Linked DNA regions of Cricetulus griseus. The protein of the gene in region 3 purifies or fractionates together with the protein of the main gene of each other region. This does not show direct contact. Links are inferred from orthologs where the notes say so. Each region holds a gene or a part of one and is shown on either strand. Other genes may lie near its edges.

The links.
Region 1: the proteins of Clcn4 (region 3) and Tmem9b purify together in Homo sapiens (co-immunoprecipitation; 3 studies listed by BioGRID and IntAct, with this or other methods). This does not show direct contact. The link is inferred for Cricetulus griseus from reciprocal best matches to the Homo sapiens genes CLCN4 and TMEM9B.
Region 2: the proteins of Clcn4 (region 3) and Tmem9 purify together in Homo sapiens (co-immunoprecipitation; 3 studies listed by BioGRID and IntAct, with this or other methods). This does not show direct contact. The link is inferred for Cricetulus griseus from reciprocal best matches to the Homo sapiens genes CLCN4 and TMEM9.

The regions. Positions count from the first base shown.
Region 1 is NC_048596.1:90,983,538-90,987,161, reverse strand, and holds the end of Tmem9b (transmembrane protein 9B), read right to left. Parts: intron 1,794-3,624; coding exon 1,638-1,793; 3' UTR 645-1,637; downstream 1-644. UniProt on the Homo sapiens protein: Enhances production of pro-inflammatory cytokines induced by TNF, IL1B, and TLR ligands. Has a role in TNF activation of both the NF-kappaB and MAPK pathways.
Region 2 is NC_048598.1:53,257,768-53,262,067, forward strand, and holds the start of Tmem9 (transmembrane protein 9), read right to left. Parts: upstream 2,925-4,300; 5' UTR 2,839-2,924; intron 2,813-2,838; exon of another isoform or gene 2,675-2,812; intron 2,420-2,674; 5' UTR 2,384-2,419; coding exon 2,309-2,383; intron 1,346-2,308; coding exon 1,254-1,345; intron 1-1,253. UniProt on the Homo sapiens protein: Transmembrane protein that binds to and facilitates the assembly of lysosomal proton-transporting V-type ATPase (v-ATPase), resulting in enhanced lysosomal acidification and trafficking.
Region 3 is NC_048604.1:105,026,979-105,030,626, forward strand, and holds part of Clcn4 (H(+)/Cl(-) exchange transporter 4), read right to left. Parts: intron 2,997-3,648; coding exon 2,598-2,996; intron 1-2,597. UniProt on the Homo sapiens protein: Strongly outwardly rectifying, electrogenic H(+)/Cl(-)exchanger which mediates the exchange of chloride ions against protons.

The DNA.
Region 1 (3,624 bases), on a different chromosome or scaffold from region 3:
TTAATCCCAGCACTCGGGAGGCAGAGGCAGGCGGATCTCTGTGAGTTCGAGGTCAGCCTGGTCTCCGGAGCGAGTGCCAGGATAGGCTTCAAAGCTACACAGATAAACCCTGTCTCGAAAAACCAAAAAAAAAAAAAAAAAAGAATTTAATGTAATAATATGTTAATATGAATTTAATATATCTGTAATATGATTTTGCCAAGAACTTCACAGAATCAGCACTCCTTTATGAATTATATAAATCTTGTTTTTCATACACACGCGCACACACACACACACACGTGTGTGTGTGTGTGCGCGTGTGCATGTATGTGTGTGTGTGTGTGTGCATGTATGTGTCTCATCACAGTCCAGGATGACTGAATTCCAATCAACCCACTTGTGTCAATCTCCCAAGTGCTAGGATTATGGGCTTTCAGTACCATGCCTGGTTTATGAATGTAAAGCCTCTCAACTGACTACTTGTATACCCAGGAATGCATCATCATTCTCTTTGCCCCCGTACACCATACAACAGGGTCAGTGTTTTAGGATTAGGTTGCATAACATGTTTTCAAACAACTTGGTACCAAAGGTCTCTGTGTCATCATGCTTATCACACAGCACAAGAGGAAAGACAGAAGGCTAGAGAGCAGACACACTTATAGGGGTTTTGAAAATTATTTTATTGTTACATTCCAAAGAGGATGTAGGAAGAAAAAAGCCAGTTATCCAATAACTGTTAGACTTCTGAGAGAGAGGCAATCCGAACTCCAGTCCTAGTTCAAAGCTGCCCACATTAGTTCAAATAGCTGCCTCTCAGCACGACAGGAAATGCTGACCAGTATGTGTATGCCATTCATCCAGGGAGGCTTGGGCTTAAGAGAAAATGTCTTTATTCTAAATGTTCAAGTCCTTAGAGATACTAGAAGAAGATGAGGAAGACCACACACACTGTGTTTAGTTATTAGAGTAAACTAGCAAACGGCCAGTTTGTTCTTGGATGTGTTGCATCAGACATCACATCGCACGAAACAAGTCTGCATTTTGTGGAGAGCCACCAGGCATTTTAAATCCAGCTTACCAAGAAACACAGCCACAAGCCAACCAGAATCTTAGTGATGTAGTCAGTGCAAAAGTCATGTGTGGAGGCTAGCACACTGATGAGCTGGCCACACTGGAAATACTAACAGTGAAATAGAAGGTCTGGTGTATTTACAAGTCTGTCTAGTAAAGAGACTTGAGAGAAACTATGTCAAGCACTCCCAAGGCTTCCCTTCCTTCTCCCGCCACAGAAAAACAGAGGCAAAAGCACACCTGGAAATTATCTTGATAACCAAGTTGCTGTGTGGTGAGAAAGAGAGCTTGTTCCAGGCACAGGACTTGACGATAACTCACAGGCAGCTTAATTTTATTAGTAAAAGTCACAAGTAGGAAAAGGTTTACTGGCTGACTTGGAACTGTGTGCTTTAAAAATGTCTCTATTAATACATTAACAAGAAAAAATACTAAGCATGTGGGTCTGCTTCCAACTTTGAGCCTGCCTCCATCCAGTAAGGGTTTGTAAAAACAACAGGCATTAAAACCCACTGACACCCAGTCAATTCTTTCCAGTTGTCTGTCGTGTTTTTTCTAGTCACCTTGATTCTGATTCCCAGTTAGCTGAGGACAACATGTCGGTCGAAGACAGACTTCCGCTGTTCCTGAACCTGAAGCTTCCAGCGCTGCTGTGCATACTCCACCTTGTTTAGAACGTTGGCTCTGCTGCGGGAGCGGGCCAGCACATCATGGGCGTTGGCAAAAGGCTGGTGATCCTGAAAGTTCAGTGGAAGGTGTTAGAGATGCAGGAACAGCATAGAACACACACAGAACAAAGAGCCTGTGAGCCAGACTAGGACAGGAGATTCTAGCCCTTCAGTCAGAAACAGGACAAACTCAGATACCAAAGCAGAAGATTCCAGAGACAGGAACAACAAGGGGTATGTGAGAAACACACCAATAGGTCACCATTTTCAAAGGCATCTTCTTTAAGGAGCAGAAACCAAGAAAAGGATGAGGGTCATTTTCGTTAGAGAAGTCCTTCCTGGTTAGTGGGAGGATAAAGTCTATTTTCTTGAGCCAGTGAAACGGCTCAGCAGCTGAAGGCACTTGACACCAAGCCTGACCTGAGTTTGATCCTGGGGCCCACATGGTGAAAAGAAAGAACTAACTCCTGCAAGTTGTCCTCTGACCTCCACATGCCCTGAGGCATGCATGTGCCCACCCTCTCACCCATGCCCCCCAAATAAACAAACTAGTTACTTTAATGCAATTAAAATTTTTAAAGGGACTAGAGTAATGGTTTAGTAATTAAGAATGCCTGCTGCTCCTCCAAAGGACCTGTTTCCAGCACCCATGTTAAGGCAGCTCACAATTGCCTGTAAGTCCAGCTCCAAGGGACCTGACACCTTATACTGGCCTCCCAAGACACCTGCAAAACTGTGTATACACAGCCACATAAAACTTTAAAAATCTCTAAAAATTTTTAGTCACTTCTTGTGCTATGGTCTTACCATGTCATCCAGGCTAGCTTGGAAAACTATATTGTCCAGACTAACCTCAACCTAGTGGTCCTCCAACTTCCCACTCCCAAGACTAGCACTTCAGGCACACACCACCTACACCTCCATTAAGGAAGCCTGTTTTCAGGGGTGGAGAGATGGCACAGCGGTTAAGAGCACTGGTTGCTCTTCTAAAAGACCTGGGCTCAATTCCCAGCACCCATATGGCAGTTCATAAGTGTCTGTAGCTCCAGTTCCAGGGGATCTGGCATCCTCACACAGACATACATACAGGCAAAACCCAAATGCACATAAAAAAAATCTTAAAAATAGTAATAATAAAAACTCAAAAGCTGTGACTTGTAGGACCCCTTTAGGAAGGAAGGAAGGAAGGAAGGAAGGAAGGAAGGAAGGAAGGAAGGAAGGAGGAAGAAAGAAGGAAGGAAGGAAGGAAGGAAGGAAGGAAGGAAGAAAACCTGTTTTCACATTACTATCTCCATGACAGATATTAATAATGTGGGATTTTCCTCTGTATTGATCAATACTTAATAGCTCATCTGTGGCAGAGGAGAGCTCTGTCTTTCCATTTCCCGATTCCCATTATATCAGAACTGATGGCATGCCAGCCAAGGGCCAATAGAGCAGCCAGGTGTTCTCAGGGCCACATCTTGATTGGTCTTCATGTATCTCTGAGCTTTCAATGTGCACTGATGGACTGTTTTCCAAAACTTTCTGGCTTCTCTCTTCCCCACTCTGCAGTTCGACAGAGCTCATGTGCTTTAGTACCTTCTCTTATCAAGGAGAGTGAGGACTGGCTTACTTCAGCATGTCTAATCTACAAAAACTTACAACCTTCATTGCAGAGTGCTCCACGACTTCAATGTTAATTGCTATCTTAGGAAAGAAGTCAATGAAGGTTACCCTGGTTTTCATACAAAGCCAGATTCTCCTGTCACAATAAACTGATTCAAATGGATGTTTGTAGTCATTACACAGGAAACCGCCCCACTAATCTACCCATGGATGAGATGTCAACACAGCTGCCCACATGACAAACAGCTTCAATTGTAATTTACTGTTTTTATTTTGCCTTTTCCCTGAGTTT
Region 2 (4,300 bases), on a different chromosome or scaffold from region 3:
AAGGGATCTGATGCCTTCTTTTGGCCTCCACAGGCACTGTATACACATAGTGACCTGACAAGTGGGCAAACACATCCACCAATACATAAATATATACATAAAAATTAAGAAAGTAAACCAAAGTACAGTGGGGATTAAGTAATCTAAATCACGATGAACAAATGAAAAAGCTAGACTTGGGTCCAGAAAAGTTGGATCCAGAGTCTAAACATGCACAAACACTGGCTTTCAGAAAATTCAACTGCTACGAATCTGAAAACTCTCAAATGTGCTCTGGATCAATGGCATCATGAGCACCTCAAGGACTCCAAGCAAAGGTTACTCTTCTGACAGATGCTACCATATTTGCTGAATCAAAATCTTGGCAGGAGACTGTCGGAACTGCAAATTTTCTTAAAGCGCACCTAGTGATTCCCTGATGCACAGGTAGTAGCAACCTTGGCCCCCACCCCCATTCACTGCATACACCTTGACCTTACCCCGTGATGTCTTCAAGGATGAAGCTTCCCATCCTTCCAGCACTGGCAATGTTTCCCTCACTCACACTGAGGCTGACTCCCTGAAGCTGTCATCCCATCCACTGGCCTTCCGTCTACACTATGTGATCATCCCAAGCCTTCGTGGTTCCAATCCCAAATGCCCCTTCCCCTCAGCAGCTGTTCTCCCAATCTTGAACATTCACGGAATGTCCCCAGGTCTCTCCCTTTTCAGGGAGATTCTAGCTCCTTAAACTATTCCTTCTAGAACACAGTATTTATTCTTCCTTTCACCTTCACATTCTTTACCTGAATGCATTCTTGGTTATTTGTGCTTTTTTAAGTAAGGGGCTAAGAAATGAATTCAAGACCAGAGACACAAGGAGCACAACGTAAGATCTTTGTTTGGACCTGAGTCTATGCAATTATAAAATGGGAACAGCATCTACTCTATTTACATTAGAAGGTTGCTATGAAACCAGCAAAGCACACAGGTTTGCAAAAGTACCGAGGTATATACTATGTACACCTGCCCCTCCCACTTATCTACCACCACTCTTCACATCAACTGAAATCGAAAACAAAATCCAACACTGCCCCCCCCAAGCTGTAATTCAAGATCCCTGGGTTTTGTTATCAAATGGTTAAGGACAAAATATTCTTTTGCAGGCACTCCACAGAAATGGGTAATTTATCTCTAGAATAGGAAGTCTAGGAAAGCCCTGATCATTTCAGCCAGGTGATTGTGCCAAGGGCCAGCCATTTACACTGCCTTACCAGTCCTTCTGAGACACATTCTGGTTGTAAATGTGCCCACTGATGTTTCTGTAAGGTGGACAAATGCATTTGCACCGGATATCCTCAGAGCTCTGGAAGAAAGACAAAGAGTAAATAGCAGGAAAGACCCTGCCTGGGTTCAGATTCTGGGCAGGCTAGCACACTTCAGTTTTGTGTCCTGTTCTGTGAGGTACATATGTATGCTTTTGAATTTTCCCATCCCCAATTCAAGGAGGACTATCTCTATAGGAAGGCTGCCACATCACAGGGGCCTCAAGATAGGAACCTCTCTGGTATCAAAAGAAACAGAAGTTGCCTGAGGCAGGACATACAGCAAGCAAAGTGACAGGCCTCAACCCTGAGGCCCACACTTGTGTATTTTCTGTCTGGTGGGGTAGGTGGGCCAGAATTCCCCCCAAATCTGTCTTAACTCCCTAGGTTAGGATGGAGGAAGGGTTGAATAAAGAAAAGTGGGTGTTTCCATGGGCAGGCTCCCTCCAGGAATTCCTTCAGGGCAAAGAAGCAAGCCCTGCTACTCAATATCTTGGTGACCCTCAGAATCTAAAGCCATAGGACCTCTGTTACAAAGAGAGAGCATCCAAACCCAGCTGCTGGTCCTCCAGCCCTAAGGAATGGGAGCAATCTCAGGAGTGTACCACGAAGCTGTGTCAGCTGGAAGCAGAAACCACCATCTGTGCATGCCTTTACACTCAGAGAGCACTTTACAACGTTATGTGATTTGATTATCCCCAAATAGAGCAGCAGATTCGAACACAGCTGTTTTTACTTAGGGCAAAGGAAGACATGGAGAACTTGGGTAACTGCTCTAAACAAACTTTCTTGCTTGTGGGGAATTCCGCCGAGGGCCAGTCTGGTCTGAAACCTGTGCGGTGTGGTGCTCCAAACCCTGTGTTCCCTACACCCCTAGGGAAGGCCTGCAGCTTGCCCCAGGTAAGGTCCTCCAAGTGTGGTCCTCGGGTGGGTGAGGGGCAAAGAGTGGTGCTGCTAAAGCCCCGCAGGCCCGGTGCTAGAGCAACAAGGTGCTGCTGGCTCACCTCCCTCACCTTGTTGGCTTGAGCTGGGGGCACCAGCAAGCTCCCCACCACAGCCACCAAACACAGCAGCTTCATGCTTATCAGGCTTGCTGAGCCAGCAAGACTAGACGCCTAGGGGGATAAAAAGAAACATGGAGTCGGAAGAAGGGAAGGTGGTCACAACACAGCTCGGCCCCATTACAGCTTTGCCAGACGACGCAAGGGGGCTGAGTTCCAGGATTCCTGGGCCTTCTAAACCTTTCGCTCCCCAAGTCCAGCTCTCAGGAGCTTCCCGTGCACGAGCAGCGGGAGTCTTCTGGGGTTACAGCCTCCCGGAGCCCCCAGATCCCGTCACCAGCAGGCCCCGCTCCTACCCTCGCCTCCCACCTCTCTGCCTCCACTGCCCCCGTAGCGCCGCTCGGGACCAACGAAAAGCCCCGATTCCGACTGCCAAGGGCACTGCACACCCTGCCTAAGGATTTGGGGCGGCCGGGAACCCCCAGTGTCCCTGCGACCCCCGGCACCCCTCCCCCAAAGCGCGGTCCACCAACCTGCAAGCTCCGCCGCAGCCTCCACAGACCAGCAAGCCCCACCCCTCCAGTTTCTATTGGCTGCTAGAGCCGCCGCTCAGCCCAACCTCGCTAGTCGTCAAGACAACAAGTCCCACCTTCGCCTGGTCCTGGAGGCTCCCACTCTAGGGAGAGGAAGACATTTCTCTACCAGGACCTAGCAAGAAAAGGGACTGTCTGCCTTTCCTACAGAGAACCGAAGATCTATCTCGGAGGGTCCTGCCAACTCCTCCCAGAGTGCTTTGTTCTTCCTCGCGTTATACTATCTTCCTGTTTCAGGGAAAGCCTTTTGGAAATGAAGCTAGTAACAACAATAACAATTTAAAAACAAGATCAAGGTTGATTGTGCTTATTTACAGTCTGAAAATATTTAAAGAGCCACATGTTTTACAGGGAACTAAAGGACCCAGTCACTATTACCCCCCCCCCCCCCCACACACACACACTAAGACAACAACCTAGGGAGAATAAAACAGGGTTAGTAGGTGTGGTCTGCAGGGGGCTGTGCCTCATTAGCCTACACTGGCTCTAAAGACCTGGCAAATTGAGACAGTGCAGCAAAGTGCAGTCATCAGAGCCCAGGGCCACTACAGTGAGGACAATTGAGCTTTGGCCTCAGTCCTTCAGGGAAGAAATCACCTGTGTTACCCCAGAGACCACGCCTTCCCTCTCTGGGTACCAGTTTCTTTAGCTAAGAGTCTCTTAGGCTTTAAGGGATTGGGGTTCCTGGATGGAGGGATAGTCGCATGACCAGAATGTAATTTAGCAAGGAGAACCATGTGCCACAGAAGAGTTTTCCTCCCCTGGCATATTATTGTGTCGGGTCCTATGCTAGACACGCAGGCTGTTTAGGGGAGGGTGGAGGCAAACCTTGACTCTGCTCTTGTAGAACTTAAACACCACAAAGAAAACAATGTTTAACCAGCTGTTACAATTTAGGATAGTAAGAGCTTTGTTGTTGGGAAAAAAAGAATGCAATAGCTAGTGGGAAAGTTAGACCACGAGCCAGGAGAGCCCAGGATGGCGGTGAAGCTTTGATGGTAAGGTAGCAAGGAGCTCTCTGAGCTGTCAGAGTGTGATAAGAATACCAGCATGGCTATCAAAGGTCCCTGTGCTACTGCCAGAACCTGTGACTGTGTTACCTTGTAGCAGACTTTGGGCCACCAGCTCACAAAAACATAACAATACAGAGACTTACTATTAATTATGAAATCTTGGTCTTAGCTTAGGCTTGTCCCCCTAGCTCTTATAATTTAAATTAACCCATTTATTTTCATCTGTGTTCTGTGGTGTGGCTCTTTACTTCATCTCTCTGTACCGTCCATGCTGTTTCCTCCATGTCTGGCTGGAGACTCCACTTTTCTTCTTCCCAGAATCCTCTCTGTCCCCAGAAGTTCTGCCTAACCTTTTCCTGCCTAGTTACTGGCCATTCAGCTCCTTATTA
Region 3 (3,648 bases):
TCACCACCAGAATGTGGTGATCCCTCTGTTTCCAGGGCTTAGGGAAACAGCTTGTCTGATTCCCTGGAGCAAAGCACCCCTCCTCTTTCAGCAAGCCGTAGCAATAGCAGCTTCTGCACTATGATGGGCCTAACTGAAAGCACAGAAATATGATTTACACTGCATGGTGCCTCTTCGGGTATTCCAAACATAGCTTCTGAGAGGGTGCAGGCTTGCAGAGCTTAAATTTCTTCTCCAAGCAGTTGATGCCAATTATCACTTCCCACTTGATTACAGTAATGGCTTTAAGCAAAATTAGTAAGATGTCTCTTAGCAGGTGTGCCTGGAGCAGCACAATAGGTAATGGATTATGTGACATTTATTACTTCAGTTTCTAAACTCAATCTTTGTGTAAAAGATTTTGGGGCGATTGAATGCATTTTAAAGGCTGCTGATTATGTTATTTTAAAACAAATATGACCCGTATTAAATAACTTTTTAATGATCTTATTATTTGTTAGGCAGTGTTTACCCCTCAAGGCACCTCCCTGTTCCAAGACAGGACCTATATAAAGAAAAACATCTCTGAGCACTCAAACAGGAATTTGCCATTGTACCTAAAATGTAAACTCAAACTTTGTTTTCTGTGAGAGTTAACCATTAAAATTACAAGGCAGTGCTTATCTACACTAACATTTGGAAAGCTTTAGAGGAAGATATCTTAATTATATTTTAAGCTATTGAGTATGAGGAAGGGGGTTCAAAAATAGAAAAGGAAGTGCCTGTAAAATAGGAACAAAGGGCCAAAGGATGAAACAGTAGTCTGGTGAATATGTGTACATGGTGAGGTAATGAGCAGTCAGGTAGAAGGAAGAAGATCTCTTTGTTACACTGCAGGAACATTCTGGAAGACATGGCGGAACATAACACTGGCCCCTGGTCACGAAAGTGCTAGAGGCTTGTCTCCCATATGATATAGGGGTAATTCACGGAGCAAGACTGCTGATGGGCAGGTCATGGTGTTTATCATGCATGGGAAGATGGCCTACACTGGCCTTTGCAACTGCTTGCATCCTGAGGTCCACAGGACTTCGGTCCTGGGAGGCACATTATTTCTCCTTGCATAGAACGCTCTCTACAACTCTTCCCAGGACTGCTCTTGCTTTCCTTCCCTTGCAGCCATCCCTGGCACAATGAATCCATAGGGTAGCTTCCTTGAACAGCCTGTCTTTGGAACATCCCACCTGTATATCATTCCTTTCACTGTTACCCAAATAAAACAGTCTGATCCTCAGGGTGACTGACCTCAATTCAAACACTAGGTAAACATAATCACATCGAACTAATTTTGAATGATGCTGCTTGCTAACCCACGTGGTCCCCTAATTGGTTGAATTGGAAAAAATGGCAGAGACTGAAGTAAAGACTCGTGCAGTGCTGAGTGAGGTACCAGAGAGAACTCTCCCCACTTCAGTGGGCTGACTATGCCACCTAATAGTCCATTTTTGACATAAGCTATGCTGTTCAACTTTGTTCTCAGAGCATTCCTTTCTTTTTAGCTTTAGTCAACAATTCCTTTAAAACTACAAAAGCAGCAGTATACTTCCTATCAGAAAGAGACCCCCCCAGTGGTTGCCTGTACCCACAGCAACCACATTCCAAACAAGAATATCTACCCCAGGGCTTGAGTTTAAACATTTAAACCTTGGCTCTTCACAATCTGAGTTGGAGGCAAAAACATTGGCATGCCTGAGAATCTCAGAAGGAATATAGAGTCTCAGCCCCAGTGGGCCAAGCTAGTTCAATCAGCATTTGTATCCTTTTTTTCCATTTTGGTTTTTGAGACAGGGTTTCTCTGTGTAGCCCTGGCTATCCTGGAACTAGCTACGTAGACCAGGCTGGCCTCAAACTCAGAGATCTGACTGCCTCTGCCTCCTAAGTGCTAGGATTAAAGGTGTGTGCCACCATCTCCCAGGTCAAAATTTGTGATCCTATGTAACAAATATGCTTAAATCAGAGCTTGGAAGACTCTGGCTTTCTAAAATGATTTTTCATTAAATCATAATGAATTTGATATATAGAAATACATAATCATTGGGGCTGGAGAGATGGCTCAGAGGTTAAGAGCACTAACTGCTCTTCCAGAGGTCCTGAATTCAATTCCCAGCAACCACATGGTGGCTCAAAACCATCTGTAATGAGATCTGGTGCCCTGTTCTGGCATGCAGGCAAAATACAGAATACTGTATACATAATAAATAAATTTTTCTTTAAAAAAAGAAATACATAATCATAATGAGTGCACTGTATTTATATCATTTCCACCCCTCCTTTTTCCTTTCCAACTCCTCCTATGTTTCCCTGCCATATCCTCCTCTAAATTTCATGGTTTCTTCTATAGATATTACATATATGCATATACATAAGTATACACATACAACCTATTGACTCAAATTAGTGTTACCCATTTGACCACAGGTTTAGGACTAACCACTTAGACTTGAGTGACATATTGGGGGCTTGTCAAGGGAGCCCCTGACTTACTGAACTCCCTGGGACCCATGTGCTAATTCTAGGGCCTCTGAGGGAAAGATAAGAGCCTCCCTGTCTGTACTCACTTATAGCCAAGATCAGCTCTCGCCTCTGGGCAAAGCCGATGAGGCGCTCCGAGTCTCTGGAGACCACCACAGGAAAGCCATTGTAGTCTGTCTCCTTGATGAGTGTCTCTACATCCTCCACAGTCATGCTATCCTGGGTGAGTACTGACAATGGTGGTTCTCCCCTTCGGGGTCGCATCACATCAGTGGCCAGAGTACGGTGGGTGAACTCATCCTTCACGTCGAGAAATGGGTACCCATTCAAATGAATGTGGGCTTCATAAATTCCTTCTTTCCCAAAGGCATCAGCCACCCACTTGCTGGTGACAGCAGCTGCCATCAGGGGCACAATATACTCCAGACCGCCAGTCAGTTCAAACATAATGACCACCAGTGACACTGTCATCCTAGTCACTCCACCTATAACAGAAAAGGACAGTGAAATTTGAAAGCTCAGTCACAGACCCCATGAATGTGTACAGACAAGCTCACAGACCAGAATTTCATCCCAAGCAGGCTCTCTAATGAGAACTTTCTGTCCTCCTAATACTTGGTCCATGGAGTCAGTCCCACATGATGCCTGGGCTCAGGCTCTGTTAAACCCAGTTTTGCATCAGGGACCTGTATTACCTGACAGGGAGCTCCACTCCAATAAGGGCATGCGTGTCTATACTCCCAGGTCATATGTCTGGCCCTTTGATAAGTGAATCCTACCAGACTATCCAGGCTTCTGATGGTGCAAGCAACTCAGAAGCCAAAGCATTGGAGGGAATATTAAGAATATTAGGTTGGACAGGAATCCAGCTTTGAATCCCTAGGTATTCAAAGGCAATTGCAACCAAATCCTACTCCAATAAAGTTAAACCAGGTTCTCTTAACCTCAGTACATGAGATATTTGAGGCTAGGCTATTCTGTTATCAAAAGGTGCTATGCTTGAAAGCTGAGCAGTGTCTGTGCCTTCTACCTACTACATATAAGTAGCACTTACAGTTATGATAAGGAAAAAGTGTCTCCAAATATCACCGGAGGCAGAATCACTCCTTGTTGAGAAACCATATTCTAGATGGTATA